Linked DNA regions of Macaca mulatta. The protein of the gene in region 1 purifies or fractionates together with the protein of each later gene. This does not show direct contact. Links are inferred from orthologs where the notes say so. Each region holds a gene or a part of one and is shown in the gene's direction. Other genes may lie near its edges. The genes, in order: GDI2, RAB1A, RAB10, RAB1B, RAB8A, RAB4A and RAB8B.

Region 1 (4,245 bases):
ACAGGGCGAGATCGTCTCAGGGGAAAAAAAAAAAAAAAGGTATTTCATATTGGTCCAAAAATACAGGTAGTGTATAGTATGACCCCCTGATGACTTGAAGACAGAGCAACAGAAGGACTTTCTTTAGTCATCATTAGCTTAGCCAAAAGAAAAGTCAGTTACACTCACTGTTGCATAATCAGTTGTATGGTCAACTTTGCACTAATTTATTTGGTGACAAATATACACAATCAAATTAAGGTTGAATATAAATTTAAACTTTACTTTTGCTTTCTTCTCCCCTCCCCTTGCAAAAGGTCCATGGTCCAATATAACACATCTTCTCCAAGTATTTACGGGTTAAGAAACATTTTTAAAAGTTGTTACATTCTCTCCTCAATCTTGATGATTTAAATATGAGCAAGTTCGGTCTATCAAGGCAGGCTCATGATAGCTATTACCGAGAAGTATTTGAGTAGTTCTTGAATGCCAAATCTTCATTGTCTGCTGACTATGCAGATTTATCACGTGCTGAAAACACAGGTTTTCCAACTGTCATCGCCTTTAGGAAATTCACCTGCCTAGGCTTTCGTGGGATTTGCCTCTTGGAGCTGAGAACACAGCTTCTGCTTACACCCGTGTCCTCAATGAAGTTAGAGATTCCTAAGAGAATTCTAGAAAAAGAGGAGGGGGTTAAAAGGCAAGCAAGGTACAGTTTCTAAGCTTAGGGCCTAAACCTTTGCATCCAAGGATCAGCTACCACGTTTACAGTGGCTTTAAGTTATAGCCCTGGGTAAGTGCGGATCGGCTTCCCAATGAAACCTGGCCTTCACTTTCATCTCCGTTAAGGGTTCCTTTTAGCAAAAGAAGCCGCTTTTCCTCCTACCACTTTCCTAAAGCGCCCACCGGCAACGCACCAAACAGGGAAGGCACAGAGCGGGAAACAGGACACGTGTGATTTCCGAACTCTTCCCGGCGGGCTCCGGGCCCCGGCGAGCCCAGCCCCGCGGGAGGAACCAAGGCCGCTACCCGCGAGAGGCGGCCGGACCCACGTTCCTCGCCCACGTGGCCGCCGCAAGCACCCGCTCAAAGTCCAAGGACGGCGGTCCGGCTCTGGGACCTTGGACCGAGCGAGCTCCCGCCCCGACGGCGGGAGTCAGAACCGTGGTGGCCGGCAGTACTCCCCTCCCGCGGTCCCGTGCGCCTCCACCCCGGTCCACGCGCCGCCTCCCAGACCCCGGTGGCAGAAACCGCAAAGGGAACCGGAAGCCAAAATGGCGACGCCCCTCCCTTTTCCTCTCGCGAGAGGCGGGGAAGAAAAAAAGTTGGGCGAGTGACGGGGACAAAACCAATTAGAGTGCCGGAAGCGCCTGATTGGCGGCCCTCCCGGCGCCTGCAGGCCCCGCCCCGGCTGCGGAGGCTCAGTCACCGCCCTCCCCTCCCTGCCCCCTCCCCTTTTCTCCCCGCCCGGTTCTTCGCTTCCCGTCTGAGGTGGCGGCAGGTCTCGCCTTGTCGCCAGCTCCATTTTCCTCTCCTCTCTTCCCGTTTCCTTCGCGCCCGAGAGCGCCTCCCAGCCTCGTAGGGTGGTCACCGAGCCCCTGCGCCTTTTCCTTTCTCTGGTTCTGCGTCCGCCACTGCCCCGCCATGAATGAGGAGTACGACGTGATCGTGCTGGGCACTGGCCTGACGGTGGGCGCCGGGGCTGAGGGGCCGGGGTTGAGCAGCCGGGGCGGGCGCATCCCCGGCTCCTGCACGGCCCGCGGGTCGCAGCTCCTGGGGGGTTTCGTTCTGCAGTCAGCCGTGGTTTTCGGGACGGGAGTCGTGGCTGGGGGCACGGGCGGGTTTGGGGGCGCCCCGCGTCCCGGGACGATCGGGCGACTCCCAGTGTGAGGGGCAGGCGGGGAAATGGAGATGCGGGCCGCGAGGCTCCGGGCGGGGTAACGGCGGAGCCCGGCCGCTGCGCTTCCCCCTTGCGGAAGCGGAGTGGAGGGAGAAGGCGGCCCGGGCCGAGGCTCCCGCTCCCCACTTTGGGCCAGTGACCTCTCCGGGTTGGAAACTAGCACCCGAGGCGGAGGGGACGGTGCAGGCCTCGCGGTTGCATTTCCTATTCCGCCTCGGCCGCTTCCCCGGGTCTGTCTGGCTGCCAAAGCCGAGCACGGGGTTTCCTGACAAGTCTTGGATAATCACTGCTTCGGAACTGCTAGGGCTTGATTAACTTATATTTTTGGAGAAAAGGCAGAAATTAGGCTTTTAATCCTTTCTCCCCCCTGCTAATAAGAAGTATTATTGAATCTTTTTAGCCACCCTCCCTTCCCACTTACCGAGCATCTGTAGAATTGGAATTGAGTTTTTTCAAAACTTGTCTATCAAATGCTTTCGCACCTGACCTTCGCCGCCTTTTCCTTTTGTTTGGTGGGTTCCCTGCCTCCTTTGTCTCTTCTGGACTCTTTTCCCCTAAGAATTGGATTGGTGATGGATTGCTAAAGGCCAAGTTCTCTGTACTCCGAAGCTTTCTTCAGGGAGTTGGAAGATAAATCAGTAACAACATGAAGAATGCATTGTAGTATATATATGAATGCAAGGTGTACCTAATACCATGGTATATTGATTTTCCTGGTTATGTGTCTGCTTAGAGAGCTTTAGGTTAACTGTAGATAATGCAGGCAGGTTCTGTAGTTTGTACTTTTTCTGTTTTTTTTTTTTTTTTTTTTTTTTTTTTTTATGAAGACTTCATCTTGCAAAAGAATTTGGAGAAAACCATTTTAACTATCGATTTTTGGGAACTTTGAAATTCTAACTTTGGGCTGCTTGATCATAATTAAGATGAATACTGATGTAAATCTTGTGTATCCTATGTACTCTGACTTTAAATTCCTGTGTCATTTAATGTAGACTTCCACTTCAAATTTTTTGAAATTTATTATAATCTGTCAGGTTCAAACTAATGTTTTTTTTTTTTTTTTTTTTTACAGGTAACGTCCCAAAATAACACTTTTAAATGTCTCTAGTCAAGAAAAAACCTTTGAACTTTTATTTGGCTAATTTTTTAGGAAAGGTTTGTTAAGACTTAGAATGGTGTTTTTCTGGCCTGTCATTTTTCTGTTTATAGTTATATGCAATTATTAGAGAATATTCATTCAGAATACTTTGTTATGTTTGACAAATTCAGGAATAATCCTGTCAATGTCTTTGAAAAGCTGGAAGGCTGTTGGATGCCTAAATGAATAGGCCCTACCCACTGCAGGTTTTGTGCTTTTTTTTTTAAGTGCCTAATTGGGATTCCAAACTGCGCTTAGTAGTTTGTGGTGGATTTTGCCCGTTGGAATGGGTAGTGCTGCTGCCAGCGTGTTGTTAGAGCCGGTTAGTTCCACCGTTTTTCTATGGTTGTTGCTGGTCTTTCAGATTTGCTCACAATCGAGGTCAGTTGAGCATGGACGAGTGAGTGCAAATCCACCATCATGCAGGCTTCCACAAGCCCCATTCACATCACTTTGTATCAAAGATGGTGAAACAGTCTTTTTATATAACAAGTTAAGATAATGCACTTCGTTTAAATTTTCATTTGGATTGTGAACTTTTTGATAAATGGTAGATGCATACTTAACTAGAAATCAGACCAATTTCTGCTGTCATTTTGTAGCTGTGATAACTTTAATCTCTGTTAGCCTGCCTAAGTTTTCTGAGATGTTCTTTGATAATTATATCAATTCAGAAGAATCACATTATTACCATCCTTGATAGGAGTAGTGATGACAGGATGATTTTGATAATGAGAAATCTTATATCCTTATTTTTAGTGTTACCAGGAATTAGATGACTAAAAATTAGAAGAAGAGAAAACCAAAGTTAGCACTCAGAATTAACTTTTGAGTGTCTGGAGTTAAATTAATTTTCTTGAAATTTACTTTATATTTAGTGCCTGAGATTTAAGAACCTAAAAAAAGGCAAGTGCTTTCAGTGCTAGGAACTTGTTACTTTTAAAGAAGTGTAAGGAAGTGCTGGAGTTGCTGTGTTGCTTAGTGCTGCCATTGTTTGTATGAGTTGTTAAGTCCAAGCTCGTAATCACAAATATTGATAGTCATTTTAATCAAGAAGATACAAAATGATTTGGCATAAAGGAGTAAAATCTTCATTCTGTGTGTAAAAGAAATGGAATATTCCACACAATTTAATTTTCTAAGGAATTAAGGGTTATCTCTAAAGAGCACAGCTTTTGGATAATGCCTTTCTAAATGCTGTCACAACTTCTCTAACAAACTAACATAA
Region 2 (3,995 bases), on another chromosome or scaffold:
GAGCTGATTAAAGAGAGCTGTTAAGACCACATGTTTTTAAAAAATGAGTTAATATTACTCCCAGAAATTGTAGGCACTATATAGTGATGAATTGCATGTTTTTATTGCTTATTATTTTCCAGTCTTGCAGAAAGGCTCAGGATTAGCAGCAACTACAAATAATACATTACAATTCAACCTGAAGGCTGGGACGAAGGGAGGAGGACTTGAATTTTAGGCTGGCTCTGGGCTGTGCCTCTCCCATCCATGGGATGTGGAGCCATTGAAGGTTGTGGGGTCACGATGGAGTTGCTGTCTCAGAAAGATACATTCGACTGTGTGTGCAAATGGGCTGGGGCGGAGGAGAGAGAGAGAGGTAGAGTCCATCTGGAGACTACTGCAATAGCCAGGCTGACGAGAGCGGGGCACAGTAAGAATGGGAAGAAATCCAATAAGAAAATGGTAGTGCGCGGGGCCAACAATGGACGATGACCGAATAGAGGTGGGTCTGGGTGAGTGACGAGAAGTAAAGAACTGCTCCGTGCTGTCCAGGGAGCCCCTTGACTTCCCTTCTGTCCTTAGAGCGGACGTCCTCCGACCAGCCTCCAACCAGCGCCACCAGGGTGGCGCAAGCCTCAAGCTGGTCAGGTCAGCAAAAGTCGCATGGGAGGCAGGAGCCGACACGCGTGTCCCCCGACCCCCTCTCCGCTCCCGCACGCCGGCAGTCCCTCAGTTTGACCACTCCCTCCGGTCCTTTGCCTCCCGCGACCCCCAGCCTCCGTCGGCCGCCTGCACCACCCTCCGCCCCTCTCCGCCCCCTCCTCCGTGGGGCGCTGACTCGCCCGGCTGCCACGTCTCACTGATGACATCACCAGGGCCGCTCGGTCTTAGCCAATCCGCCAGGGGGAGTCCGAGCGAAGTCCTAGCCAGCGAGTCAGAGGGGAGGGGAACAGGGAGGGGCGGAGGGTGGGGAGGTGAGGGAGTGGGGAATGGGGCGGACGACAACCCTTCAAGTACGCATGCCCCAGAGGCGCGGCGCTTGGCGGGAAGCTGAGTCCTGGCCTCAGCGCCTCACTGTCTATCCTCAGCTCGCGTAGCTGCACTCGCGACTCCCTTTCCCGGCATGCCAGGCGGTGCGGCCGCCCTCTGGGCTGTGTAAAGGCCCCTCGGTCTAAGGCTTCCCTATTTCCTGGTTCGCCGGCGGCCATTTTGGGTGGAAGCGATAGCTGAGTGGCGGCGGCTGCTGATTGTGTTCTAGGGGACAGAGTAGGGGAAGACGTTTGCTCTCCCGGAACAGCCTATCTCATTCCTTTCTTTCGATTACCCGTGGCGCGGAGAGTCAAGGCAGCGGCTGCGGCAGCAAGGGCGGCGGTGGCGGCGGCGGCAGCTGCAGTGACATGTCCAGCATGAATCCCGAATAGTGAGTTCAGGAGAGCACCGGTCGGCTGGGTCCGTGGGCCAGCTTGGGGGATTTTAAAGGGGGCGAGGAGGGTTGGGGCGGAAGTCGGGGCATCGGCTGGGGTGAGGCGAGGGTGATGGGTCAGGAGAGGCTGGCGGCCGGGAGTCGGGCCCCATTGTCTGACGCGGAGGGGCGGCCGGGCGGGGGAGGGGTCGGGTCGGAGGGGTGAGCCGCCCGGGCCTGGACCGGGTCCGGTTGGAGGGCCTGACTGCGGGGCGGGTGCTTAGGAAGTCTGCCCAGGGGCCTGAGGCGGTGTGAAGAGGTAGCTTGTCTCGGAGGCAGTGACTTTTGAAGGAGGACTTGTTTCTAAGAGGAGGGGATGGGGTGGGAGAACCCTTCTAGAGGGCACTGGCAGACCCTGCGCCCGCACTCTGCGGAGCTGTCAGGATCCTCGGGGTGGAAACCAGCTTTACTTGTAAATCCTGAGCTTGTTGGCTCTCTCTTCTTCCATCCTCCCCGCCAGGTTTCAGGTAATATGGATGCTTTTCGGGACTGCGTGGGATTGAGGGGAATGAGTAGATAGGGAGAAGCAACTGAACATTTTTTAGTTCTCTTTTTGAGTTGTGCCTTGAACGAGTTCTTTAAGAGCTCGCCGGGTCCATTGCCCTCCTAAAAACCTGGGCATTTGTGAGTTTTTTTTTTTTTTTTTTTTTTTTTTTTTTTTTTTTTAAAGAGGACACCTAAGTCATTTTGTCTTCTGTAGGTCAAGGGAAAAAAAACCCAAAAAAACAACTAAAGCCAAGGAGTGTGTTTCTGATACTCGCAGATTAAAGGAAGCTTGCTGTCAAGTTGAAAGAGAAACGAATGGGACCTATGATAGATCTGTATGTAGTTTTAGATTACCTGCTTGGATGCTTGCAGATAGGGAATGAGGTTCCATGACGTGTCATGAAAAGTTAATGCATTTCTTTTTCTTGCTTACTCAAGAAGTCACCACAGCAGATGTGACACACCTGGCACCTTTCCTGGGAACTGGTGTTCACTTCCTTTGGGTAGAGTTTGTTGGACTCTCCTCAGTGGCCATTTAAAAATTTCCTCTACAGTTTACATGTATGTAAAGTAATAAATAATTGTAAGAGACCGAATTGGTATTCCTTTTCAGTGTCAAAGGCCTTTGAGGGATGGGGGAAAATCAGTATTTGTTGTAAAAGTTGAGTTTATTTGCTGCTTTGGTCAATTACTGCTAAACATTTCCCCCTAAAAGGTCCACTCACCAGTTTAGCTGACTGTCATATGTGTGTCACATGGCTCTTGCAAAATGCTTTCTTCAAGTTTTGTAATACTGTGGCTTGATGCTGAAATCTCTTGCACTATACAGAAACCATAGTATTTTATTAGAATTTCATGCTTTAGAAGTTAAGGATAGTGTTGTTGTAGTGACATTTGCTGTGTTGACAGTTTAAAACAAATTTTTTTTTTCAAGGGCTCCAAGGACAAAGTTGGTTTTGCACAGTTGAATGGAGTTGAACTTGAGGTTCTTCATTTAGTAGTTTTCTTGGTAACAATAAAGAACATGGATTTACTGCTTTATCGAGGTTTATAGACCTCTACTGTTCAGGAAATTTTCTGAATTTGCTATATATATGTATGTTTATTACTATAAATAAATCTTCAAGATTAGTTGAGAACTTTGACAAGTTACTTAGCCTCTGAATTTTTTTCCCTTTTTGTAAAATAGGATAATTGGAGTCATTATTCCTGTCAGGGTAGTGGTGAAATTCAAATGTATATAAAAGAATTTGGAAAACTGTATGAGCATTCTTCAGGTTGTATGCATCATTTTCATGAAAGGCATTCTATTAGTACTAGGATTTAGAAATATAATCCTTGCATTTAAGAAGTTTAGATATAGGCCGGGCGCCGTGGCTTAGGTCAGTAATCCCAGCACTTTGGGAGGCCAAGGCGGGCGGATCCCGAGGTCAGGAGATCGAGACCATCCTGGCTAACACGGTGAAACCCCGCCTCTACTAAAAATACAAAAAAATTAGCCGGGCGTGGTGGTGGGCGCCTGTAGCTCCAGCTACTCAGTCTGAGGCAGGAGAATGGCGTGAACCCAGAAGGCGGAGCTTGCAGTGGGCCAAGATCGGGCCACTGCACTCCAGCCTGGGCGACAGAGCAAGACTCCGTCTCAAAGAAAAAAAAAAGAAAAAAAAAATAATTTTTTTTTTTTGAGAGGGAGTTTCAATCTTGTTGCCCAGGCTGGAGTGCAATGGCGCAAATCTTGTCTCATCGGCACCTCCGCCTCCTGGGTTCAAGTGATTCTCCTGCCTCAGCTTCCTGAGTAGCTGGGATTACAGGCATGTGCCACCACGCCCGGCAAATTTTGTATTTTTAGTAGAGACGGGGTTTCTCCATGTTGGTCAGGCTGGTCTCAAACTCCCGAGGTGATCCGCCCGCCTCAGCTTCCCAAAGTGTTGGGATTACAGGCGTGAGCCACCGCGCCCGGCAGAAATAGGTTTTATACATGTCGAATACCAGTAGATATAGCAAATTCCAGATGTATGGCATGGATGAGAGCAGCAGGATTTCAGGGGGATGGTGGGTTGTGATTGGCTAT
Region 3 (3,500 bases), on another chromosome or scaffold:
GCCTTCAGAATAAGATTAATATTTAAGATGTTAAAGTCAGCAATTGGCAACCCATGCTTGATAATTTTATGATGATATTTTGTTTCTGTTTTAGATTGCAAGGGAGCATGGTATTAGGTTTTTTGAGACTAGTGCAAAAGCAAATATAAACATCGAAAAGGCGTTCCTCACGTTAGCTGAAGATATCCTTCGAAAGGTAGGTTCCTATTTTTACTTCCTGCCAGGTACCTGAGTGTATCTCTGTTGAATATTTTGTCTATTCTGAAGTACTGTATTTACATACAGAATTTGAGTTTGGGTGGTATTGTTTCTGTAGGGCAGCAGTCCCCAGCTTTTTTGGCACCAAGCACTGGTTTTGTGGAAGATAATTTTTCCATGGACCGTATTGGGTGAAACTGCCCCACCTCAGATCATGAGGCGTTAGATCTTCCTAAGGAGCGTGCAATGTAGATCCCTTGCACGTGCAGTTCACAGTGGGGTTTGCACTCCTGTGAGAATCTAATGCTACCACTGATCTGACGGGAGGCGAAGCTCAGGTAGCAAGCTCCACAGTCACTGTCTAGTCCCTAGTTCCATTATTTTTTCCAGTTTTTCATCTTTTCTAGCCTTTTTATTATTGGATTCATTTCTCTTAATGAGTACTTTGCAGTCTCAGATAATTTAGGAAATTTTAAGATAAGAAATGAATCTATTAAGTAGTTATTGCCACAGAATTGCTATTCTGCCATATTAGTCACTTCTCAGGCAAATAAAGGGCATGTACATATTCTGTACATACTGAATAAAACCTATTATGTAAGAAAATAAATAATGCTGAAAATGTGATCTTGAGGAATGCATGTTTTACCTCAGGTTTGTTTCTGGGCTTAAGATTTGTGACTCTCAATATTTGCTAGTATAAGTAACATGTAGCCAAATTAGGAAATCCGATTTTCATATTTTCCCTCAAGTGACTAGGTATAATGCATGGATTTGGTTATGAATTCTGAATTATCTGTTCAATCTGTTGTAATTTTAAATGCAAATAAATACAGATAAAATCTGACATACATTGGCCAGGCGCGGTGGCTCACATCTCTAATCCCAGCATTTTGGGAGGCTGAGGCAGGCGGATCACGAGGTCAGGAGATGAGACCATCCTGGCCAACACAGTGAAACCCCATCTCTACTAAAAATACAAAAATTAGCTGGGTGTGGTGGCACATGCCTGTAATCCCAGCTTCTTTGGAGGCTGAGGCAGAAGAATCCCTTGAACCAGGGAGTCAGAGGTTGCAGTGAGCCGAGATAACGCCACTGCACGCCAGCCTGGCAACAGACCAAGACTCCATCTCAAAAAAAAAAAAAAAAATCTGACACACATCCTAAAAGAGAAGCAGATGTTGTATAGTAGAAAATGTAATTACATTTGGTAACCTTTCTATTTTTATATTTGAAATATTAATATTTTTTCTAAAACCGACCTATATAAAAGGTAGATGTTTGTTTTTACATTTTCTTAACCAACCAGTTTTTTTTCTTTCTCCACTTTGGAAGGACAGAGACATTAGCTGTAATAAAGGTGGTATGTCACATATAAATCTAGTGAAATTTCTGAGCAATTACAAGAGATTGAGTTGAAATACTTACATTGAAGTAAATTCTTTATATAGAGTGACTAAAACCAAGGGACCTAATTTTTAGAGTGAAATGTAGGTATCTGTTTACTACAATTGAATATTCAAACTGGAAAAAACAGTCATCAGTTATTGCTCTTTAATGGGGCTAAAAAATGGGTGCCCTTTTGAATCTGCCAGCTTCCTTTGCATATCATGTTTTGGGACTTCCTGCTTTAGGAGATGTTTTTCTATGAGAATCCAGTCAGATCAAAAATTGAATTTTATTTCAGAGAATGAGAGAGGCTGACAACAATTAAACTAAGTATAAAAGATCTCCATAGTGTGTGTATTGAGTGATAAAAAGCAAATTAGGGGCTGGGCACTGTGGCTCATGCCTGTAATCCCAGCACTTTGGGAGGCTGAGGCGGGCGGATCACGAGGTCAAGAGATTGAGACCATCCTGGCTAACCCGGTGAAGCCCCGTCTCTACTAAGAATACAAAAAATTAGCCGGGCGTGGTGGCGGGCGCCTGTAGTCCCAGCTACTGGGAAGGCTGAGGCAGGAGAATGGTGTGAACCCAGGAGGCGGAGCTTGCAGTGAGCCGAGATCACGCCACTGCACTCCAGCGTGGGCGACAGAGCGAGACTCCGTCTCAAAAAAAAAAAAAAGGATATAAAATGTGAAGTGATCTCATTTTTCAAGATTATATGATATACCAAACAGACATATGTACATGCAGATACATTTTATTTTTAGCAAATGGAGAACTGGAAGGGTAGATACCAAACTCCAAATAGCACTCCAAGAGAGTGATGGTGGTAAGGGGGAGAGATCATAGGGCAGATTCATGTACTGACTATAGGCAGTTTAGTTTTGAAATTTCAACAGGTTTCTTTTTTGAATTATAAGCAATTTTAAGATTTTTTTAAAAGAACAGTCTTTCACAATTAAGGTGAACCCATTAGAATTTCTTGAGAAAATCTATATTATTTATTGTTCTTTTGAAGAGCAAAAGAATAGAAGAATACAACTAGGAAAAAATGTGTTTCTTTCTGACTTTTTTTTTTGTTTTCTTTTTGAGACAGGGTCTCACTATGTTGCCCAGGGCTGAAGTGTAGTGGCTGTTCGTAAGTGTGATCATGCTGGCTGTAGCCTCAAACTCCTGGCCTCCAGTGATACACTAGTAGCTGGGTCCACAGGGGTCTGCCATCAAGCCTAGCTCGGTCTCTCTCTTTTTTTTTTTTTTTAATTGATGGGATCTTTGTTTCCCAAGCTAGATTTGAACTCCTGGGCTCAAGTCATCCTCCTGCTTCAGCTTTCTGAGTAGCTTAGGACCACGAGGACACATCACTATCCCTCACTAATTTTCAGATTTTTTGGTAGAGATAGGGGTCTCACTGTGTTGTCCAGGCAGGTCTTGAACTCGTGGCCTTAAGGGAACCTCTCGCCCTGGCTTCCCAAAGTGTTGGAATTACAGGTGTGAGCCACGTACCAAAAATTGTATTTTTAATTAAATGAAGGGAATAAAAGAAATAGAAAAATACTTCTTTTAAAATTGGTTGAAGGTACTTTGTATTTCAGACATTGGTGGGTCAGGATGAAACATTATCCAGTATTCACAGTCGAGTTAAAGACCAGGATAAGACTGGCAGGAGTTACCACAAGACCTAGTGAAACACTCTTGGCTCTATGTCCTTTCTCTTTCTGGGCTTTTTGGTCTTCGTGGTTTCTGCTTAGTTTCTATCTATACTATGTCCTTTGATCTTCTCATCAGTCTTGGCTTTTTTTTTTTTTTTTTTTTTTTAAATAGTGCTATATAGCCATTATATATATAATTTTGTGCCCCAGTGAGGTAGAGCTTTCCTTATTATCATTATTAAAGGTTAAAGTATTAGTATACTAATA
Region 4 (3,331 bases), on another chromosome or scaffold:
CACTGGCTCCTGGTTGTCCAAGACTTAGCCAGGCTGAGACAGTCTGTGCTCTGGCCTCTCCCCATTCCCCGCTCTGTCCTCCCCCGTCCCCTCTCCCCTTTCCCCCTCTCCCCTTTCCCCCTTTCCCCTTTCCCCCTCTCCCCTTTCCCCCTCTCCGCTTTCCCCCTCCCTATTGAGTGCATCCCAGCAACATTCCACTTCCTCCCATTCCCCAGAGACATCATGCCCCTCCCATTCAGTGACCTGGCACATGCTGGCTCCCCAGCTGGCACCTCTCCTGCACAAGGCCAGTTCCCACCTGCAGGCTTAGGCCTGCTGTTGCTCCCACCTCAAGCAGAGGTGGTCTGGGGGCTCCCCGGTCCCTGCCTTCTAACCTGTTTTGCCCTTGTGTGTGGCCTGGTCTATTCCTCTGCTGTCCCGTGAATGTGTTAGGGCAGGACTCGGGTATGATTTCCCCCTTTGTCCCCAGCACTTAGTGCAGGACCCAACTTGGAACATGGCAAGAGTTTGAGCCAGTCTAAGTTTGAGCCAGTGTGATATCATCAGGCCTCTGGCTCCTAAGGAGGAAAAGTGGCACTAGCTTGAGCACTTTCCTGAAAGTCCTGTCCTTTGTGTGTGGGGTAGGGGCAAGCTGCTGGAAGAGTCTGAAGCCGGGTCATAAGGCTGTTGGTGCCAAAAGTAGGATGAATTTTAGGCTGTTCCCAGGAGTCCTGTCTCGCCATGGGCCAGGGCCGCCTCTGAGAGGACCCTCGACCTCCTGCGTTCCAAGGCTACAAACCTTAAAGGGATTTTTCAGGCCACGGTGGGAACTGTAACTCTTGCAGACCTGTTACTCTCTGTTCCTGTCTCCCCTCCACTCTCTCTTTGCTTCTCACATGTGGTTAGGCCTGCAAGTGTCTCGGGCAGAGACAGCTGCAGGGAGCAGAGCTGGCAGGCCTGGGTTGGAGCAGCTGTTGAGGTGCTAGGGCAGCTGGCAGGCTGCTGGGGCTCTTCTGGGTCTTGGATGGAGGAGGGCAGGGAGGAAGGTTCAGCCTGGAGCAGAGGGCTTCCTCTGCATCCCTGAGCCGAGGACTCAAGGGGCCCAGAGCTGTACTGTTCCCCTCAGAGAAGGTCTTGTTCTCCAGGTCTGGGGTAGGGGTGACAGTTGGGAGCAAAATAACTTTGGCCCCTGGCCCCCTCTAGGAGTCCTATGCCAACGTGAAGCAGTGGCTGCAGGAGATTGACCGCTACGCCAGTGAGAACGTTAATAAGCTCCTGGTGGGCAACAAGAGCGACCTCACCACCAAGAAGGTGGTGGACAACACCACAGCCAAGGTAGCAGATGGGCCGGTCTGCCTGGGCTGGGGGCGCTGGGGCCTCCTGCCCCTCACCCTGCTCTCCCCTCCTCTTCTCTCCTCTCCGTTGTCAGGAGTTTGCGGACTCTCTGGGCATCCCCTTCTTGGAGACAAGTGCCAAGAACGCCACCAATGTCGAGCAGGCGTTCATGACCATGGCTGCCGAGATCAAAAAGCGGATGGGGCCCGGAGCAGCCTCCGGGGGCGAGCGGCCCAATCTCAAGATCGACAGCACCCCTGTAAAGCCGGCTGGCGGTGGCTGTTGCTAGGAGGGGCACATGGAGTGGGACAGGAGGGGGCACCTTCTCCAGATGATGTCCCTGGGGGGGTGCAGGAGGTGCCTCCCTCTCCCTCTCCTGGGGCATTTGAGTCTGTGGCTTTGGGGTGTCCTGGGCTCCCCATCTCCCTCTGGCCCATCTGCCTGCTGCCCTGAGCCCCAGTTCTGTCAAGAGTCCCTAAGGGAGGACACTCAGGACCTGTGGTCAGGCAGGGCAGGGGCCTGCTCTGCTGCTGCCTCTAGGTGACTTTCCAAGATGCCCCCCTACACACCTTTCTTTGGAACGAGGGCTCTTCTGTCGGTCTCCCTTCCACCCCCATGTATGCTGCACTGGGTTTCTCTCCTTCCCCTTCTTCCTGCTCTCCTTCTGCCCAAGAGCTGAGGTCTCCCCGGCCTCTACTGCCCTGGCTGCAGTCAGTGCCCAGGGCCAGGAGAGTGGCCAGGGGATCCAGGACCTGGGATCCAGGGCCCTGGGCTGGACCTCAGGACAGGCATGGAGACCACAGGGGCCCAGCAGCCCACCCTTTCCTCTCCCCACTGCCTCCTTTCCCCTCCCACACTCCCAGCTCGAGCCGTCCAGCTGCGGTGGGGTCTGAGTATATCTAGGACGGGTGGGTGGGTAGCCGCACTGGGCTTGTGTCTTGAGCCTGGAGGGAGTCTGCTCCTGCCGCCCTCTGCCCTTCCAGAGACAGACCCGTGCGCTGCCTGCCCAGTGTGCCCCTTTGTCCCCACGTCAGGCAGAGGCGGAAGGCCCACTGTGCCAGAGGCTGGGCACCAGCCTTAACCTTCTGCTAGCACCTCCTCCCCTTCCCCGAGGCAGCACATCTGGCTCACTCTCCCCTGGGTCTCTGGAGCCCACCAGGGAAGGCCCTCATCCCCTGCCGCTACTTCTCTGGGGAATATGGGTTCCATCCGGGGTTGGGGGCCTCTCTGCTCATCCACTCTGCACCCAGGATCCTAGTCCCCTGCCCTCTGGCACAGCTGCTTCCTGCAGGAAAGCAAGTCTTTGGTCTCCCTGAGCAGCCATGTCCCTCGTGCTGTCTCTTGCCTGTCCCACCTGTGCCCTGCCCTCCAGCTTGTATTTAAGTCCCTGGGCTGCCCCTTGGGGTGCCCCCCCGCTCCCAGGTTCCCCTCTGGTGTCATGTCAGGCATTTTGCAAGGAAAAGCCACTTGGGGAAAGATGGAAAAGGACAAAAAAATTAATAAATTTCCATTGGCCCTCGGGTGAGCTGAGGGTTTTTGCAAGGAAGTTGTGGTGGACAAGTGTGGTCTCTGGTCTAAGTCCAGCCTTGGGGTGGGGGGATGGAACTGGAACCCTGGGCTTGATGGGGTGCACGGGGGTCCTGGCTTGGTTTCTGCATCTTAAGGCTGCTGGTGAAAGCCCTTGACCCCGTTTCCTGGGGCCAGGAAAGCTGCTTGTGCTTCTGTGGTCTGTCCCCAAGGGCCCAGCACCGTTCTGTCAGGGAGAGAGAGGGCAGCCATCAGCTCATACCTGGTGTGCCGCCGCCAACTCCCACGGGGGACACGGCAGAGGTGTGGGGTCGTGCAGCCTCTGAAAGGGCCCCCACTGCACCTGGCCCGACCTCCTTCGGCGCCCCCCAAAACCCCGCTGCCCCCATTCAGCCCATGTCCTCGCTTCGCTGTGTGTCCCAGCCAGGTGCTTCTGCCGCCTCCGACAGTGACAAGTGCCTCGCACTTCAGCCTCTGCCCTGCGCGCCCG
Region 5 (4,097 bases), on another chromosome or scaffold:
TGTCGTCCATGCTGGAGTGCAGTGGGACGATCACCGCTTACTGCAGCCTCAAACTCCTGGCCTCCCAAAGCACTGGGATCACAGGTGGCAGCCACAGCCCCGGCCTGTTTTTTCAGTGTTGAGAGTCCTGGCCCCTAGATAGGAACAAGCATCCTCACTGTTCTAAAGCATCCTCACTGTTCTAAACCCCCCGGGCTGGCCCGGACAACTCCTAAAGCGGCCGAGGGCGGACCCTGAGGAGGCCGGCGCGCGCTTCGGGGCATAGCTTGTGGCGGTGAAGCCGCTCAGGTGGCGGAGGCCTTGGGTATCTGTAAGCAGGTCGCTAGGCCGCAGACCTCGGAACTCGTCTTGGGTCACTTTTATTTATTTATTTATTTTTGAGATGGAGTCTTGCTCTGTCGCCCAGGCTTGAGTGCAAAGGCGCGATCTCGGCTCACTGCAACCTCCGCCTCCCAGATTCAAGCAATTCTCTGCCTCAGCCTCCCAAGTAGCTGGGATTACAGGCGCCCGCCACCACGCCCGGCTAATTTTTGTATTTTTAGTAGAAATGGGGTTTCACCATCTTGGCCAGGCTGGTCTTGAACTCCTGACCTCGTGATCCACGCGCCTAGGCCTCCCAAAGTTCTGGGATTTCAGCCACCGCGCCCGGCCCGGGTCACTTTTCGAGTATACAGTGTCTCCTCTCTCCTTCCTCCGTCGGCCCCCGCTGCCCCGACTCGGAGGCCGCAGATCAGGTTGAGAGCGCTACCATGGTTTCCCGCGCTCGCCTCGGGGCCTATTGCGCCTGCGCGAGTTGTGACGGCGGGACCCAGAGATACCCGCCCCAAGTACAGGATTGCGCCCTCTGCCGTCGCCTAACGGAACTCCGGGCGCTCGTGCGCACGCACCCCAAGCCCCGCCCCCCAGGCTGCCGGCGCGCGAGCCGTTGGCGACGCTCCCTGCCTTCCCTCTCCTGTAGTGGGGCGGGGCCGGGGCGCCCGAGTAGGGGGTGGAAGGCGGGGGCCACATAATGCCACGCCCCCGCCTCGTCCCCATTTGAAGCCCCACGACTCTTCACTGCTGGTCAATCAGAGCCCGTCCTCTCCCTAGTGCCGGCCAATGGGAGGTGCGCTCGGGCTGCTTCCGGCTCCGCGCTCCATTCGCCCCCTCCCCAGGTCTCCCCGCGACTGGCGGGACGCAGGGGCGGGCGTCGGCCGCGGTGACGCGCAGCGGGCCTGGAGCCAATAAGGGGCGGGCTCGGCGCTGATGGACGGTGCTGGTGGCCAGTGGAGAGGCGCTGGCCGCACTTCCCGTCGGGGAGAGAGTGTAATATGGCGAAGACCTACGATTACCTGTTCAAGCTGCTGCTGATCGGGGACTCGGGGGTGGGGAAGACCTGTGTCCTGTTCCGCTTCTCCGAGGACGCCTTCAACTCCACTTTTATCTCCACCATAGGTAGCGGGACCGGGGAGTGGCTGGGGGCGCCAGAGGCCCGGGCTGGGCGCGCCCCTGAGGGGCTGGGGCTGAGGGATCTACCGGGCTGGACTGGCCGAGGGCGCTGAGAGGGTCGAGGGGGCCTAAGGGGAGAAGAGCAGTCGCCTGTACCGCCGTTCGGAGGTTCCTGGGCCGTGGTGGGGGAGACCAGGTGCCCATTTTGCAGATGGGGAGACTGAGGCTCCGACCCTCAGCCCGCTCGTTAGGGAGTGTTATGTCCTGGGCTGGGGTCTTCGCGCCCGTCCTCTCGATCTGTCCTAGCAGCAGCCCTCAAAGCGGTTCTTTTGAGGCTCCTGCCTTACAGAAGTGGAAACTGAGTCATGGGGAATTGGCCATGGGAAAAAGACGGTGACATCTCACCTTAATGAGCATTTACTATGTGCCAAGTGCTTCCCGTGCATTTTCACACTCTCCAGTTCTCGGTGTTAAGTGCTGTTTTGAGCCCGTCTCACAGATGAGGAATTTGAGGCTCAGGGTGGGCCTGGAACTTGCCCAAGGCCACACAGTCTGCAGGTGGTGAGAATGGGATTTGATGGAATTTGAACCTGGCTGTGTCTCAACCCAAAACTCGAGGCTTAGCTATCCTAGAGAGATGCCACCTCACACTCCCAGCTGATGACAAGCTCAGCTAATGCACCTTGGAGCCGGAACTGTAACCCACACCATTCCTGCTCTTTTCTCTGGAGTATTCAGAAGTTGAACCCCTCTCCCTGACCATTCTTCCCCTCATAAGTGTATTTTCCTCTAGAAGGAATGATAAGAGGAGTCAGGACCTTTTCCCTGCCCACATTTCATCCTGCTCCAGGATGACAGTAATGACAAGTGACAGCACTGCCTGCCCTGGAACCTGTCATCTGCAAGAAGATGCAAGATAAAAGCCTCAGCGAGCAACTAAATCAGCCACTGCCACAGACAGCCTTGACTTCCCTATCAAAGGGCCCAAGACTCCGGTTGTCACTTTAGAACAGCTTTTCCCGTAGGGCCAGCCCACATTGTGGTTGAACAGAATTGGCTTGGTGCATCTCAGTTGTGCCGTCTGCAGAAGTGGAACTGACCTCTCTCAGTGCCACAAAAGCAGTCCTGGCCCACAATGAAAAGGTTAGACCGGGGAGTAACACCAGTCTGAGTGGCCTGGGAGCTCTGTAGCCCTGCTAGGGATGGGGAAAATGGGGGAACGGTCACTAAGGAGTTTATTCCAAGTCACGAAAACGTAGGGAATGGCCTTTGCTTTACTGTGTCACTTCAACAGAATCATGTTTTCTCCCTGAACCCCACGATAATGTGCTGATTCCATTCTTGCCCCCCTCCAGGAGCTGTGCTTTTTTTATTTTATTTTATTTTATTCTATTTTATTTTATTTTATTTTTTGAGATGGAGTCTAGCTGTTTTGCCCAGGCTGGAATCCAGTGGTGCTATCTCGGGTCACTGCAACCTCCGCCTCTCGGGTTCAAGCAATTCTCCTGCCTCAGCCTCTCTAGTAGCTGGGACTATAGGCACCCGCCACCACGTCCAGCTAATTTTTGTATTTTTAGTAAATATGAGTTTCACTATGTTGGTCAGGCTGGTCTCAAACTCATGACCTTGTGATCCACCTACCTTGGCCTCCCGAAGTGCTGGGATTACAAGCATAAGCCACTGCACCCAGGATAGCTGTGCTTTATAAAACAGTTATATGCCTGATGTAAAGTAGAGAGAACTGACTGGAAATCGTTACGTCTGGTTTCCAATTGCTGTTTGCCCTTGAACATACACTGCCCCTCTCTGAGCCCTGCTGTCTTTAGAGCAGGAGTGACGCTGTCTCCTGGGCTAGTGCCCTGGTGGTTGAGGATTAGAATTAGACAATAAGGGGTTATCACCGTAACCAGAGGCCATCTCGAAGAAGCAAATGAATGAATGGCTCCTGCAGTGACAGCATCCAGCCTCTGAAGACAGATGGTTCTGAATTCTTCCCCCTCCCCAACTCCAAGGCCAAACTTTAGGGTAACTCTTGTGCCCCAGCCGATCAAGAAGTGGCGTTAATTCAGCCTGGGCAACATAGCAAAACCCCATCTCTATAAAAAATAAAATAAAATTAGCCGGGCATACTGGCTTACCCGTATAGACCCAGCCACTTGGGAGGCCGAGATGGGAGGATTGATTGAGCCCAGGAGGTCAAGGTGCAGTGAGCTGTGATGGCGCCACTGCACTCCAGCCTGGGCAACAGAGCGAGACCCTATCTTAAAAGAAAGAAAGAAAGAAATTATGTTAACTGTGGGCAGACTGTGGCTTGCCTTCACTCAGATCCCAGTTTCCCGGCCTCAGCACCTTCCCCACAAACCCCCCCTCTTTTTTTTTTGAGATGGAGTCTCGCTCTGTCACCCAGTCTGGAGTGCAGTGGCATAATCTCGGCTCGCTACAACCTCCGCCTCTCAGGTTCCAGCAATTCTCCTGTTTCAGCCTCCTGAGTACCTGGGATTACAAGTGCCCACCACCATGCCCAGCTAATTTTTGTATTTTTTTTTTTTTTTTTTTTTTTAGTAGAGACAGGGTTTCACCACGTTGGCCAGGCTGGTCTCGAACTCCTGACCTCATGATCCGCCCACCTTGGCCTCCCAAAGTGCTGGCATTACAAGCATGAGCCACTG
Region 6 (3,500 bases), on another chromosome or scaffold:
TGAATAATAAATCCAGTTGCCAAGTGGCATCCCTGATCCCTGGAAAAATTAAATTTTGTTCTGCAATTACAAAATACAAACTAGCCAATGGACTGTATAGCCATGATATTCAATTTTAGCTTATCTGTTCATCATCACCGAAATGTTCTTTCATAGGCAGTGTATTCCCGCTGGGTTTAGCAAAATACTTATTTTGCCTCTCTCCTGCCCATTCAAATAGTACTAATTTCTCCAACAAATTCATCCCAAATCATTTCCATAGAACACTACAATTAATAAAAGCTCAAACACCTGTAGATCGCATAGGGTTTTGTTTTGGGCTTTGTTGGAGGGTGTTTTGGGCTTTGTTGGAGGGTGTTTATTCTTTGGTTCAATTTTTTTCCTCCTTTTCCCTTTTCCCCTGCTTTTCCTTCCATTCACTGTTATTTCTTTAGAATATTTAACCATTCAAATACAGTAGTTGAAACTGTCTCCACCTCATTACTTACTGAGTTCCAGACCTGTCACTGGGCGTTACGCCCTTCAGAATGGTACCTGGTACGTCAGCAGTCGCCATCTGTGAGCATCTTCACAGCGCACAATTGCATGTGGTTCGGGTATGGCAGGGCTACCTTCAGGCATAGGTTTTTAAATGTATGATTTGTTTAGGGGTTTTGAGAAAAATCTTTATGTCTGTTGGAGAATAGGGGCTATGTGTATTATCTTTTAAACTAAATGCATCTTCTCAGTGGAATGTTGGAGAAATGAATGGCTAACGTCCATTCCCCATTGGTGTAACTCTTGGTTTTAGTGTCACTTGTTTAAATTTATAAGCCTGTTAATGTTCTAAAATTAAATATGCTGTTCTTGTTTTTCTTTTTTAGTCAAAGATGACTCAAATCATACAATAGGAGTGGAATTTGGTTCAAAGATAATAAATGTTGGTGGTAAATATGTAAAGTTACAAATATGGGATACAGCAGGACAAGAACGATTCAGGTAGCTTTTCTCTAACTTAATAAAAATATTTGAAAATTTGATTTGAAATACTTGATGATATTCTCTCAATATGTAAGGTCTCATCCCCTCCCCAACACACCCCTTCCTTGTCCTAATCTCAGAAACTTCATTTTTGGAAACTTTGCTTGACAAGACAGCTAAAATTCAGGTTAGCTCTGTGCAGCATGGATTACTAAAGAATACAGGAGGATTTCCAGGCAACCGCATTATCATTCGGAGGCTGACCCGTTCTCAGGAGGATGTGACACTGTGTATTGTACAGTATGTTTCTAGATTCACATCAAAGCACAAGCTTGTTTTTCTGTGTTCCTTTTTTAAAGAAGAACTTTTTAAAACCTCTTGTGAGGGTTTGTTTTGTTTTACATTAACTAGAGCATGTTCTGATGTTTGATACACACTCCACAAAATATTCTCTCCACACTTTTATTACAATAGGGTCATAATTGAGGCTCAGAATGACTTCAGCACTGCAAATGAGGTTACATGTTTAGTATTCTGTAACTACTAAAGTAAGAAAATAGATGAATATTTCAGTTGTGTTTTTTGCACAGATGCACAGTCAGAGCAGATAGTTTTATAATTCAGTGAAATCCACCCCATTTGTAAACGTTTCACTTAAAGTTGAGTATATATCTTATATTAAATAATTGAAGTTTGGCCGGGCACAGTGGCTCATGCCTGTAATCCCAGCACTTTGGGAGGCCGAGGTAGACTTCCTCACCTGAGGTCAGGAGTTCAAGACCAGCCTGGCCAACATGGTATAACCCCTTCTCTACTAAAAATAAAAATAATTAGCTGGACGTGGCGGCAGGTGCCTGTAATCCCAGCTACTCTGGAGGCTGAGGCAGGAAAATCGCTTGAACCTGGGAAGTGGAGGTTGCAGTGAGCTGAAATCATGCCATTGTAGTCCAGCCTGGGCAACAAGAACAAAACTCTGTCTCAAAAATTAATTAAGTAATTGAAGTTCAATAATTGCTTCAAAAATACCATAACCACCTTTAATCACCATCATTTTTCTGGAAGCATTGATTAAACACGGTGGATTCAATTAGACATGTATGCCTTTTCCTTCTCAGAACCCCACTGAAATATCTATTAAGTAACTGAAATTGAATTAATACAAAAAGGCCAAGATTGAGAGAGTGCACAATTATGGTTGAGAGATTTCCAAAAAATTTCTTAAAGATAGGAAGTAGATGGTGCTGTGACAGCAGAAGGAGCTCTGCCTTAAGTGCTGTAATGGGGGAAGCCATTTCTTCCTCCGGAGTCCCAGAAAAGGTCAGCATTTGGAAGCATCAGGTTCTACAGGAGGTAGACGTTACAGAGGTTCATGTTTACACACGAAATAAGAGGTTCAGTCTTTTACGTTGAAATGGGGTCTAGACTCAAGGTCATAAGGCCCACCTGAGGGCACGGGGTCAGGCCTGAAAAGAGAGAAATTAAGTGAAAGTGAAAGCCTCTGGCCCCCAACCGCCCCCCCACCGCCCCCTGCCGCCCACCTCTTCCCTGGTCACTGGCAGCCAGGTGTGTATGTCCCACATAGGAGAAAAGAGAAAAGAGCCTTCTCTAGAAAAATGAATAGTCGGAAAGGAAAGACTTGAAGGTACTGTGTTTTGCTTTCCCAGAGAAACAGCCCCATCTCTATCCAGTCATCTGACAGTGAAACCCTCCAAGCCCACCCGCTTCACCCACACATAAAGAGCTGCTTTTAGACTTTTTCATTCCTTGCTCTTAATGATCAGGCAGAAATTTGAAGAAAGTTTCTACAGCAAAAGAAAGAGCTCAAAGTAAAGAAGCTAGAACTTTCAGGGAATAAGAAAATCACACTAAAACCACAGTATCCTCAGAAAGAAGAGCAGAGATTGCATTGAAGTAAGTAATAGAAACAAAGTCATACTTAAAAAGAGCAATCAGAATAATAAGTAAACTCATGGTGAAAAATGGGAGAGATGACGTAAAGAATCATTCAGAATTAATCCAGAAGATGCAATGCCTGACTATTAGGAGTTCCAGAAGAGAGAAGAGCAGAGGAAACAATAGAAGAAAACGTTTCACTGAAGGAATGAGATTCCAGATTAATTGGCCCACCTAAAATCAAACATAGTAAGGAAAAAGTCCAGACCAGAGCATGTCATGTGAAATTTCAGAACACCAGAGATGAAGTAAAGGAGACCAAAAAGGTTCCAAGAGGGAAAAAGCAGCCACATATACAGTGTGAGAAATGGAATTGCTTTGAACCCTGCCACAGCAACATTGGAGGCTAAAAGAAATGGAAGTATTGCCTTCAAAACTCAGGGTGAAATAATTCTTCAACCTAAAATTCTAAACTTAGCCAAACTGTAACTGTGCGAGTAAAGGCTGAATACCAACAGATGTGCAAGAATGAGCAGGAAGCCAAGATTATCTTTCTTAGAGACTTCTTAGAAATGTACTTTCTTAGAAAGTTTAGGAGGATATACTTCACCAGGACAAGGGCATGAACCGAGAAAGGGGAAAATGAA
Region 7 (4,209 bases), on another chromosome or scaffold:
GGTGTTTATATAGCTAAGATAAATGGTAAACGTCTGGACCAGAGGTTCTTAAACATTTTGGTTTCAAGACCCCTTTATCCTCTTAAAAATTATTGAAGACTCCAAGAAGCTTTTGTTTATGTGGGTTTTATCTGTCCGTATTTGACATATTAGAAATTAAAACTTTCAAGGGAGAACAACAGATGAGAGACAGAGAGCCCTGGCAGGGTAGACTCCTGGTCCCACACCTCCTTAGCCTTTTGCTTCCACATTACCTGAACCAGTCAACTCCCTTTTCACAACAGCTAATCCGGTTGGGTTTCTGCCACTAGCAAATGAAAGGGGACTGAACAATACACCCACAAAACAAAGAATTAGCCTAAGACAATAAATAATAAAGGATTAACTTGAGTATAACAGAATACTGTTTCCCCCTATATTCGTCATCAGTTAAGTGAGAGCCTACTGAAGACTAATGAATATTACCATCAATGCTAACAGTGCCTTATGGGTTTCAAAGAACTTCCACATTTAGTATTTAAGTTTCACTAGAACCCTATGAAGTATCTTGTTTCATATCCATTTTACAGATGAGAAAACTGAAAAGTACAGTGTTTGCGTGACTTGTCACAGCGGTTATGCAGCAAACCCAAGACTAAATTGAAATCTTACTCTCTAAATTCCCGTGGCCCGGTTCCCGCCTCACAGGACGCTTGCAGTTTTATGGGGCACAGACCTGTAGCACAAGGTTTCCCAGATTTAAAAATCCATCCTCCTGCGAGGAGAGAGGAGCGATCAGCGTAAAAGATTCTTTGAATACTCATCGTATTTGGCTCTGGTCTGTGTGGCTTGAAGAAGGGGGCACGAGTGAGGTTCGAGTTAGCATGGTAACCATTCTTTCTCAGCTCTGTGACTGAGGGGCTGCCGGAGGGGGGTTATAGTGGTTCTGGGCATGGCCTGGGGGAGAAGCTGGATAATGCACTCTGCAGATAACCCGTAGGCTGCGCCACAGCAGCGCCAAGGAAAGAAAGCATCTCTGCTCCAGGTCTCGGCGGAAGAGATGCGGGAACTACGGGACTCTGATTCTGAGGTCCTGGATTTGGAAGGCGCCCGCACACAAAGAAATTACAAAGTTAAGTTCCGGTGGCCCTACCAGCAGAGTTCGAAACGGGGCGTCCCTTCCCAGCTCGGGTGGAAACGCCTCCACCCTGTCACCCCGCCCATAGCAGGTCTTTTATCCGCTGGAGCCGCCTGGACAGTCCGCGCGGGGCACGCCCGAGGCTCCCGGGAGGAACTACAAGTCCCATGAAGCCCCGGGGCGCGGGCGGTGATGACGAAGCCCTCGCGGATTGGCCTCACGGGGAGGGGCGCGCAGGCCTTCTCTGAGAGGAGGGGCGGGGCGCGGGGCGGAGCGAGCAGCGGCGGATTGGCGGGCACGCCCCCTCGCCCGCGGCCCCCTCCTCGCTTCTCTCCACTGCCTCCTCTGGCTCCCCGGTCAGAGGGCCGGAGCGAGAAGATGGCGAAGACGTACGATTATCTCTTCAAGCTGCTGCTGATCGGCGACTCGGGGGTGGGCAAGACCTGCCTCCTGTTCCGCTTCTCAGAGGACGCCTTCAACACCACCTTCATCTCCACCATCGGTGAGGGAGGGGCCGCGGCCCGGGACCGGGGAGAGAATTGGGGGGCGGGTACGAGGGGACGGGGAGAGGGCGGGGGGCGCTTGGGAGCCCGGGAGAGGAGATCCCGGGGACTGCAAGGTGGCGGGGGCACTGAGAGGGGCGAGGGCGTTTGAGGGAGAGGGGCGAGCGGGAACGTGAGGCTAGGGCGAAGGGGTAACTTGGGGGCAAAGGAAGGGGAAGGGGAACAGAGGAACAAGGACTAGGGGTATTGGGGGAACGAGAGGGTTTGCAGACTGACAGGGAGGGGTCTTTGAGGGACAAAATGTGTTGGGGGAAGACGCAGGAAATCTCGTGTAGAGAGAGAAGGGGATAGTGGACGTGCAAATGGATTAAAAGACAGGAGAGGAAGGAAATGTGAAGGGGGAAATGAGGGATGGGGCAATGAGAGGGATGTGAAGTAAAGGGACAGAGGACACAAGGGACAGAGAGGTGAGAACCAGGCAACTGGAAGGGAATTCAGGGGAATGAGCGGTCAGGAGGTGAGGAAGAAGGGGACGGCTGGCCACAGGAGGTCTGGACCGAGATGTCGTAGGAGGGGGCAGAAGAAAATTGTAGGTGGAAGAAGAGTTCAAGGGATTAGAGGGCGGAATGAGGATACTTGGTGGAGAAAGTAAAGGAGATCTGGGTGTGAGACAGAAAGGAAAAGAGGAAGCAACATCATAGTAAAGGGAGGTTGAGCAGAGAAGACAGAGGAGATGGAAAAGAGAGGAAATGGAAAGTAGTGGGGCGCAGGACTTGCTCCAGTAACTGATTACCATGTTCTCTTTACTTCCTTTGGATCAAGTGCAGGAGAAAGCAAAATGTGACTAATGATGGAATAATGTCTGTAGAGCGTTAATTTGTTCTGTGAGTGTTAATGGATGTTAAGGGAATTGGTGACTTTTGGAAATGATGTGGTCAGGAAAATATGGTTCACCTCTTTACTATGATCTCCTGAGAAGCAAGACTTCTCAGTATTTTAAATCCTTGGGTTTGAATGTTTAACAACTTCTCAGCCAAGGAATTGATCTTATGTTCTACCTGCCTCCCTGTATATTTTGCTTTGGTTCTAATTATTGTTAAATGAATCACAACATGTGATACACCTCTAAGTTACTTCCAATTGATTCAAGAGTCTTTCTGATCTTGGCTGGGAGCTGTCCTTTCTACTTTTGTACTGGAAGACCCTGTGTTCAGGTAACAAAATCTCTTAACTTACCATAAACTGAAGACCAAGTCAAAGCTGGTTTTAAGCTGTCTTAGAAGTGACCACCTTAACATCATTTCTCCTGTTAAATAGCTGCAGGTTAATTAAGTACCTTAAGAATATCTCAGCTTTTGGTTGTCTTGGTGATGTTTCTGGCCTCTAATAGTGGCTTATTTAGGCATCTTTCATATGGTTCTTAGAGCATATTTCCCCATGAATTTCTGGGTTGGGAAATAATAGAGAGCTAGTGCTTTGGTAATACGTGTGTTTAAATATTTGTGTATTTTTAAAAATAATTTATCTTTTTTTTAAAAAAGAGTATTTGGTGTAGAACACTCTTTAAGTATTAGAAAAGGCTATGGTTTGTTTGCTCATTCTGGCTTCTTTCATATAGCTTGAATGGTCTAAAATCTCCTGGGTGTTATGATGTCTGGGCTTAAGGAAGTTTGAATTGCAAGTTCTTGGCAGTCAGTCTTGAGTGGGACTTTTTCTTTTCTGAAAAAGCAGATTTTAAATGTCATCTCTAAAGTATATTCCTAAGATTTGGTGGTAGCTGCTGGTACAGCAACTAAAGGGCGTTAATTTTTGACACTGGTATTAATTTCAAAGCCTCAAATAATGACTTTTCATTGTTGAATGCATACTGCAGTACAGATGGTAAAGGATAATTTCTAACAAGTTGAGTGGGTGTCCTTTTGTCCATTCTGTATTTGAGCCTCCCAGAAGTATCTCCTGCCTTGAAAGTAAGTGAATCTCACTGATGCTGTTTTTGTTAAGCTTCTTGGATAACTTGCTTGTTTGTGATAGCTTTATTCATTTTCTGTTTTTTCCTTAATTTTTGTCCCATGTTTCCTTTAAGGGTGTCTGCTTCCTTTTAAAATAGTACCTTTTAAAAATTACTTTTCATTTTGAAGGGTTCAAGTCTATCAGTGGATTTCAAAAAATGATGGAAATGAGGTTCTTTGGAGGGTGACAGCTATGAAGGCATGAAAACCAGTGCTCTGAAACAGATTAGAATAGGAAGTGAACATGAAAAGGAGGTGAATCTCATGTGAGATCTTGGTCTTTATATTTTCTGTGAGGTGGATGTGGTAAAAAGAGGCTGTGAGCTGTGTCTTCAGTTGACGTGGAGGAGGGGAAATCCCGTACCTCTTATTTAGCCCCAGAGCTCCAACAGGAAGTGGTAGCACACTGCCTTCAAACAGCAGAATTTATATACCTGAAACCTAATGCTCTGCAGTCAAAATTAAGCTGGGAAAATAAGGTGAATGTTAGCATCATTCTGGTTCCACAGACTCTTCACTGATTACAAGTATAGATTTTGGGTGTTGACATCTCTAGCAGCCACTCCCTGCATGCCCCTCA

Evidence for each region.
Region 2: the proteins of GDI2 (region 1) and RAB1A purify together in Homo sapiens (affinity purification with mass spectrometry; 6 studies listed by BioGRID and IntAct, counting the BioPlex papers as one, with this or other methods). This does not show direct contact. The link is inferred for Macaca mulatta from reciprocal best matches to the Homo sapiens genes GDI2 and RAB1A.
Region 3: the proteins of GDI2 (region 1) and RAB10 purify together in Homo sapiens (co-immunoprecipitation; 3 studies listed by BioGRID and IntAct, with this or other methods). This does not show direct contact. The link is inferred for Macaca mulatta from reciprocal best matches to the Homo sapiens genes GDI2 and RAB10.
Region 4: the proteins of GDI2 (region 1) and RAB1B purify together in Homo sapiens (affinity purification with mass spectrometry; 3 studies listed by BioGRID and IntAct, counting the BioPlex papers as one, with this or other methods). This does not show direct contact. The link is inferred for Macaca mulatta from reciprocal best matches to the Homo sapiens genes GDI2 and RAB1B.
Region 5: the proteins of GDI2 (region 1) and RAB8A purify together in Homo sapiens (co-immunoprecipitation; 5 studies listed by BioGRID and IntAct, with this or other methods). This does not show direct contact. The link is inferred for Macaca mulatta from reciprocal best matches to the Homo sapiens genes GDI2 and RAB8A.
Region 6: the proteins of GDI2 (region 1) and RAB4A purify together in Homo sapiens (co-immunoprecipitation; 3 studies listed by BioGRID and IntAct, with this or other methods). This does not show direct contact. The link is inferred for Macaca mulatta from reciprocal best matches to the Homo sapiens genes GDI2 and RAB4A.
Region 7: the proteins of GDI2 (region 1) and RAB8B purify together in Homo sapiens (affinity purification with mass spectrometry; 3 studies listed by BioGRID and IntAct, with this or other methods). This does not show direct contact. The link is inferred for Macaca mulatta from reciprocal best matches to the Homo sapiens genes GDI2 and RAB8B.

What each region holds. Positions count from the first base shown.
Region 1 is NC_133414.1:7,371,540-7,375,784, reverse strand, and holds the start of GDI2 (rab GDP dissociation inhibitor beta), read left to right. Parts: upstream 1-1,445; 5' UTR 1,446-1,623; coding exon 1,624-1,668; intron 1,669-4,245. UniProt on the Homo sapiens protein: GDP-dissociation inhibitor preventing the GDP to GTP exchange of most Rab proteins. By keeping these small GTPases in their inactive GDP-bound form regulates intracellular membrane trafficking.
Region 2 is NC_133418.1:59,583,319-59,587,313, forward strand, and holds the start of RAB1A (ras-related protein Rab-1A), read left to right. Parts: upstream 1-1,195; 5' UTR 1,196-1,376; coding exon 1,377-1,399; intron 1,400-3,995. UniProt on the Homo sapiens protein: The small GTPases Rab are key regulators of intracellular membrane trafficking, from the formation of transport vesicles to their fusion with membranes.
Region 3 is NC_133418.1:98,862,983-98,866,482, reverse strand, and holds part of RAB10 (ras-related protein Rab-10), read left to right. Parts: intron 1-94; coding exon 95-196; intron 197-3,500. UniProt on the Homo sapiens protein: The small GTPases Rab are key regulators of intracellular membrane trafficking, from the formation of transport vesicles to their fusion with membranes.
Region 4 is NC_133419.1:8,138,660-8,141,990, reverse strand, and holds the end of RAB1B (ras-related protein Rab-1B), read left to right. Parts: intron 1-1,182; coding exon 1,183-1,314; intron 1,315-1,408; coding exon 1,409-1,603; 3' UTR 1,604-2,831; downstream 2,832-3,331. UniProt on the Homo sapiens protein: The small GTPases Rab are key regulators of intracellular membrane trafficking, from the formation of transport vesicles to their fusion with membranes.
Region 5 is NC_133424.1:16,585,546-16,589,642, forward strand, and holds the start of RAB8A (ras-related protein Rab-8A), read left to right. Parts: upstream 1-1,297; 5' UTR 1,298-1,310; coding exon 1,311-1,434; intron 1,435-1,784; exon of another isoform or gene 1,785-2,376; intron 2,377-4,097. UniProt on the Homo sapiens protein: The small GTPases Rab are key regulators of intracellular membrane trafficking, from the formation of transport vesicles to their fusion with membranes.
Region 6 is NC_133406.1:19,757,053-19,760,552, reverse strand, and holds part of RAB4A (ras-related protein Rab-4A), read left to right. Parts: intron 1-863; coding exon 864-978; intron 979-3,500. UniProt on the Homo sapiens protein: The small GTPases Rab are key regulators of intracellular membrane trafficking, from the formation of transport vesicles to their fusion with membranes.
Region 7 is NC_133412.1:40,520,678-40,524,886, forward strand, and holds the start of RAB8B (ras-related protein Rab-8B), read left to right. Parts: upstream 1-1,409; 5' UTR 1,410-1,495; coding exon 1,496-1,619; intron 1,620-4,209. UniProt on the Homo sapiens protein: The small GTPases Rab are key regulators of intracellular membrane trafficking, from the formation of transport vesicles to their fusion with membranes.